2 linked regions of the Macaca fascicularis genome follow. The protein of the gene in region 2 interacts with the protein of the main gene of each other region in a pairwise test. Links are inferred from orthologs where the notes say so. Each region holds a gene or a part of one and is shown on either strand. Other genes may lie near its edges.

Region 1 (2,312 bases), on a different chromosome or scaffold from region 2:
ACTCCATCTCCAAAAAATAAAAATAAAAGAACAAATAAAAAGGGTACAGAGGGTGCCTAGAAATGCTTTTACCTTATTGTTCAGAGAACGTTGCTCTGTGGTCTTAGAAAAATAAGCTCAGGAGTACTCGGTTGCTTTCCTCTGCTGTCTCTACCAGCTCTGAGCAGGCAGCATGGCCAGCCACCTTGATTATATGACCTCCAAGCTTCACAGACCTTCAAGGTAGGTGATATTATTGAAATCTTTCATTTAGTAAGCTCACCTAACCTGCTCAAAGCAAGGGTGACTAAGTTATTGTCAAATTGAATCACTTGTGAGAATAAAAGGCCGTGCTATTCTACTTATGCCAGCACAAACAGCATAAACCAGGACTGTTCTAGACCCAGCAAGCAGGAAGTATAAGCAGCTTTCCTCTGGTCAAAGAGTTGGCAGGTGGTGCTGAACGACTCCGGAACATGAACTGCCCTACAGCAGGCATCTTCTACAGTCAAGCTGAGGTCTCCTGGAGGTTACAAGCACCTGCAAAAGTGATTCCCCAACATCTTGTCCAAATAACTTCTCTTATCTTTTTATTAAAAAAAAATAAAACAGTCACCACCAACCACATGACAACTTGCCAGGCAAGGCCTCACTTCCCTCCCTCCTTCGTGTCCCATGTGCCTAGTCAGCAGGGTCAGGGAGGCAGTCAGCACTGAGGTTAGCTTCGCCCAAAGGGAGTATTACAGAGAGAGGCTTGGGAAAGTGAAGGAAACCTGGACAGGCTTTTCAGCATTGAGAAGTCACTTAAAACTGATTTGTTTTCAGTAACTGGTATGTCTAAAATGCAGGGAGGGAAGACCATGCGGTCAACAATCATAACCCACTTTTTACAGGTTGGCTCCAGGGAGAGGTTGGTTGGAACGGTGTTTAAAGGAAGGAGAATGGTTTCACGAGCTTGCTCAGCTCTCCTGGAACGAAGACTAAGGTGCTACATGTTGCTTGTTAGGCTTATACTACGGCGAGTCTGGGGCTGCAGGTCAGGAGTCCTTGTTAGTGCATTTAGTGCTGGTGAGAAGGGTAGGCCCCAGTCTTGGACGCTGAAGTCCTCTAAAGACAAGGCAGAGACACAGCCTCAGATCCCCCGTCACCTTCCACTGAATAAGGGGGATGGAGAGGAGGTCTCAGCAGTTGGCCTCCTGCAAGCCCAGATGCCTGCCAGCCTGGGCCTGCTTCCTTAGCGCTGTGAGAGCTTGTGTCTGATGGGCAGAGAGGAGCAAGTGCAGTCGCTGTCAGGTTGACTCCGCGCAGGGCTCCCCAGCTTCGGGCTTGCAGGGTGACCCTGCTCTGTGACCCAGCGGCGGCTTCAGCCCCAGAGAGGGCCGTGGCACAGGTGGTTTAGGCATAGCCGCCAGCCATTTGACTGGTGGCTGCATTGCTGCCTACTCCTCGCCAGGCCTGGTAGCTGAAGAAGGCACTCACTCCATAGGCGATCATCACCAAACATGCAAAGAACTGAAAGAGAGGCGAGAAGGGTGTAAGGACCAAGAGGGTAACAGTGACACAAGCTCCAACCAGATCTCAGGCCAGGCAGGAGGGGTTTTGGCAGCTGCACCATCTCACACTCAGCCAGATGCATTTCACAGCTGTTTATCATGGAGCTGATGAGCACCAGGGTCCTGGGATGCCAACATTACCTTCTAAGCACGGGAAACAGCTAAGAACCACAGGCGGGGCCTATCAGATTGTGATAAGGACAATGAAGGACAAGATAAGAGTGACAGAGGGGACATCTAGCAAGGATTTAGTTCTAAAAAGACAACATTCAAAGGCCAGCCTAGGAATTTTTCTAGAACCAGTTCACGCCTCTATACTAACACCTGCAGCCACATTCAGAAGCTCCCCGTCTCTGTCTCCATCACTGAATTTGCTGATTTCAAAACTGCCCTCATCAGGAAGAGTAAGGAACCAAATGAGTGCCCATCGAGGCCCTGCCCTCCCCTGGGCTTGGCCGTGGCTCCAGGCCCGGAGTCCAACCTCTCTGAGCGGGAGCCTCCTGTCTGTCAAAAAGGACTGGTAGTCCCTTCCTCTCCCTCACTGTGGGTGTCACAGGATCCTGGGAGGAGATGGTGTGCAGGGCCTGGTGGTGTGAAGGGTGACAGGCGTGGAGGGGACTGCAGCCACTTCACTGGCCACCTGACGTGGGCCTGGAGTCTGGGTTTCACGGGAGAGCCTATGAATCTCCCAGAATGGTTTAAACCACAAGGTTTCTGCACGTGCACTTGTCAGTGGGAGAGCATCCAGTTTTTCACATTCTCCAAGGGGGCACATGACCC
Region 2 (4,334 bases):
GAGACCTTGTATCCAAGGTCATGCAGTTCCTGAGGGGCAGATCTGGGAATTTACCGCAGCACATTGACTGCTGAGCCTGTCTGAACTATTCAGTACTGTCTTCCCCCATGCTCAGCTCTGCTCTACCTCTTCCATGAAGCCCTCTTGATTACACCAAATTAATCTTTTTTCTTTTTTTCTAAATTTCTGTTGCATCTCATGACATAAAACACACCTTGTTACTTGATTTTGTATTCATTGATATTGTTCTCTTTTAAAAAGTTGCAGGTGTGCAATCATTTTCTTACCATTCTTCTTACCAATCATATATTACTAAAAGTAAGGTATGCATCTTTTAGCTCCTTGTACCTCTTATTGAACCTTCCTTCACTGTAAATAAAGATAGATTTCTGAGGAATAACCATTTCTAGATTGGTCCAAAAGTTGACTGTAGATTTGTCATTTATTTTTCCCCATGTTTACACCTTATCTATCCAGGAAGACTGCAAATACAAAGACTGCTGTATTTATTCAATAAAAAGCTACTGAACACAAGTAAATTGAATTAAAATAAAAAAACCCAGTTTTATAAACAATGCTAACAGTTTCTTGAGACTTTGATAAAAACCGTGAACCTTTCTCCCTAAAAAATTATTCTTGCACCTCCATACACACACATACCATACTTTTGCATATAGTTTCAGAGGCATGATGGGCCTCCTTTAGCCTATCTCACTTAAAGAACTCCTGTATTAGACTTTATATTTGGTTTTTACAACTCTTCTTTAGAGCAGCAATTTAGCCATCTGGCCACAAACTTCCCATCCTCATCCTTGCTGTCACCTTGATGAGGGACAGTTAGATCTGGATTTGTACTGGCCCTCATTTCTCCTCCTACAGCCCTGGCTGTACCATTTACTGATGAAAATTGCCTATAGGACACACTTAAAAATTTGGACATACAATTTGTCTGCATTTGTGGACACAGAAGCACTTTAAGGTCTGAGTTGACTGGTACAGGTGTGCCACGTCCTGCCACCTGTGGCCCCTGCACTGTCGTGATGCCTGGGGCCTGCTGATGGTATAGAAATAACAATCTTCAGAGAGAGGAAGTAGCTTCTGCCAACTGGAGCTTTAAACAAAACTTCATAGTCTTTTAAAGTATTTTTATCACACGCCTTTTTGGTGCCAGGCAGCGTGATTCAGTGGTTCGTCATCCACTTAGTCAAAGCCAAAGCCTTCTGCTCTGCAGGCCTCACCAGCTGTGGCCTCTGCCACTCCTCTGCCCTCCTGACAACTGCTCCCTCCCTCCCTCATTCTGTTCTATTTTATTGGCCTTCTCCCTGTTTTTCAAATACATCACAGATATTTTCATCTAAAGACTTTTACACTGGTTGTTTTCACTTTCCCTGATATCTGCAGGGCTCACTCCTAACTTCAGGTTTTTGCTCAAATGTCATGTTCTAAGGAAAGCCCATTCTGACTGCCTTGAAATTGCTGCCTCCTCACTGTCTGGTACTTTTTAGCCCTTTTACACTTCTTTGTTTTGTCCATATCATTCGACACCTTCTAATACACTAAGTACTTTACTTCCTTCTTATGTTTACAGTCTGATTTCCCCCACTAGGGCAAAAGTTCTGTAAAGGCAGAGATTGCACCTGCTTTGTACTCGGTGATATTTTCCAAGCACCTATGTGGGGTTGGCTGTATGGGGGGTTTGTCCCATTGGCTTATTAGAAGTGGGGAATTTCCTCTATCTGGGAGGAAGAGGATCAGAAGGGCCACCTCCACAGCTTAGTAAATAGGCTGCTGCAAGAGAACTTAGGCTCATTTTTACTTCCCTAAAACATCACAACTTGAAATAGGTAGTAAGATGACTAGAAGATTTTCTGGCACATAATGAGCATTCATTTACGGAATGCTCCAGCAGAGAATTTCAAGCTATTCACAGGGAGAGACTTAATATAGTTTGGTGGAATTGTACTAGCGGGATGAATGAGGTATTTGGAAAGCACAGCGAAGGGAGTAACAATTCTACCTAGGCAGGTGGAATTTTCTTACAAATAGGGCATTTTTGTTTTTACAATGCCTACAGAAACAAGGTGGTCAGTTCAGAGTCTCCTTTGTAGGAATAAGGTGACAGTTACGCTGTAGCATCTCTAAGGATATTGGCGAGAGAGGCACAACAGATGGAACGTCCCCCAATTCTTTCACACTCAGCCTTTCCCAGACTGCCCATTTGTAGTTTCCTTTTCTGGAGGCAGCCATCAATGTTCATTTTTATGTAAATTCACCTTTATGCAAATACCTGACTTGTAACCAATCTGGAGACGAGATTGAGATTGTCCAAAAAGTCCTTTGAAGAAATGAGATCAAGCTAGATGTAGTAGAGTTTCCGTCATGTCAATATTACCAAATCCTCCAGCTAGGGAGGCTCCTCTGTCTCCTGTTATATTTTTGCTTGATCTAAAATGAAATGAACTCAAGGGAAAGTCTATAGGCAGACTAAATATTTCTGTCTAAAAGGGATAGTTTCAGAATAACATTCAAAACTTTTTAGCAATTGGATGATATTCTCTTCTCCTATAACTTATAAGAAGACCTTGCAAATGTGAGTTTAAAATTCTAGTAGTAAGTAGACTTACCCCTAGTACCTTTGCTTCTTCTTTAAAGTTTATTACTGCTCTTCCCACGCTTGGATTTATCATTTGTGTATTTCCTTGACCTGGTTGACTGACAGCAGAGGTTCCTGGAGATGTGATGAAGTAGGGCTGAGCACTCTGAGCACCCTGAGCTTGGTTTTCTAAGTTGATTGAACCCGGAGGCTGTTGAGATCCAGGAGCCGTAAAGCTGCTTGGTGGGTAGTAAGGGTTGGGTGTGGTTTCATATACTCCAGCATGGCTTGTTGGCTTGGATGACACCATGATGTCCTAAGTATCACAAAACATACCAAAGTGATACGTTTATCCAGAAAAGAAACTAAAGAAAATCTTACCAAATATCAAATGTCAATTATCTATGATAATGGAGAGAGCAAGTGACAGATAATGGTCCATAACATCTGATAGAAACATGATTCTCATAAATCCCCAACCCCCAGGCCAAGGACTGTTACCCGTCCGTGGTCTGTTGGAAATCTGGCCACACTACATGAGGTAAGCAGCGGGCAAGCATTACTGCCTGTGCTCTGCCTCCTATCAGATCAACACGGCATTGGATTCTCATAGCAGCGTGAACCCTGCTGTGAACTGCACATGCTGGGGATCTAGGTTGCATGCTCCTTATGAGACTCTAATGCCTGATGATCTGAGGTGGAACAGTTTCATCCCGGACCCATCTCTCATTAGAGAGATGCTATGCTGCTGATTGTGAAGATGGAGGAAGGCGTCCATGAATCAAGGAATGTGGGTCACCTCTAGAAGCTGGATGAAACAAGGAAACAGATTCTTCCTAGAGTCTCCAGGAAGGAACCTGACTCTACTGACACCTTGACCTTAGTCTAGTGAGCTGGTATGGCACTTCTGACCTACACAACTGTCAGATAAAATAATATATTGTTTTAGGCCACTGTGTTTGTGGTAGTTTGTTATATCAAGAAATAGAAAACTAATACAGGGGCCAAGTAATACAATACTTGTATGGCAAAGAGGGCAGTCCAAGATTGAAATTATTTGCCAGTAATTGGGAAACTAGATGGTTCACATATGCCCATTTAAGATGATTCTCCTGTTCTTTAGGAAAAATGCTCTTACTCATTTCTGTCCTTCTGAAAGCTTAGAGCATCTCAGGCCCCATGTAGCCAAGGGAAATTTTGTTGGAAATAAGCCAATACAACTGGATATGGACAACAATGACTATTAATTCTTGAAAAAAAATTATGACACTTAAAAAATTTGTCATTAGCCTTAGATTCCTTTTTTTGAGGTCTTCTCAAATAATTTTTCATGTACTTATGAGTATCAAGAAAGTTACAGTGATGAATGTCTCATTCTTGGTATGAAGTATGAATACTATGAATAACCTATTGGTACAGTGTTTCACTGGTATCTAACAGGGACACATATTCAGACCCTGTGCTCATGGAATCCAGAAATTTTAGGGTAGGAAAGACCCTTTCCATTTATCCTGTCTCATTCCCCTTCATTTACAGATGAGAAATTGAAGCTGAGTCAAGTTAAGTGACATGCTCAAGGTTACATAGAAAACGTGTGGCAGAGTTAGGACTTGAAAATGGGATTCTTGGCTGTTGGTTCAGAATCCCCCTCCACCCCCAGTCATCCATACAGCATCACTGTAGCTTGTTTTCCAGGCCAGCCTTGGTGACAGGGTATTGACTCTGCTCCTGCAACTGCCCA

Evidence for each region. The genes of interacting proteins can lie anywhere in the genome.
Region 1: the proteins of MS4A12 (region 2) and PLLP interact in binary tests that used the Homo sapiens proteins (3 or more experiments, as listed by UniProt). The two-hybrid records come from large-scale screens. The link is inferred for Macaca fascicularis from reciprocal best matches to the Homo sapiens genes MS4A12 and PLLP.

What each region holds. Positions count from the first base shown.
Region 1 is NC_088394.1:53,367,958-53,370,269, forward strand, and holds the end of PLLP (plasmolipin), read right to left. Parts: intron 1,492-2,312; coding exon 1,375-1,491; 3' UTR 553-1,374; downstream 1-552. UniProt on the Homo sapiens protein: Main component of the myelin sheath that plays an important role in myelin membrane biogenesis and myelination. Plays an essential function in apical endocytosis. Regulates epithelial development through the regulation of apical endocytosis.
Region 2 is NC_088388.1:13,728,920-13,733,253, forward strand, and holds the start of MS4A12 (membrane-spanning 4-domains subfamily A member 12), read right to left. Parts: upstream 2,904-4,334; coding exon 2,625-2,903; intron 1-2,624. UniProt on the Homo sapiens protein: May be involved in signal transduction as a component of a multimeric receptor complex.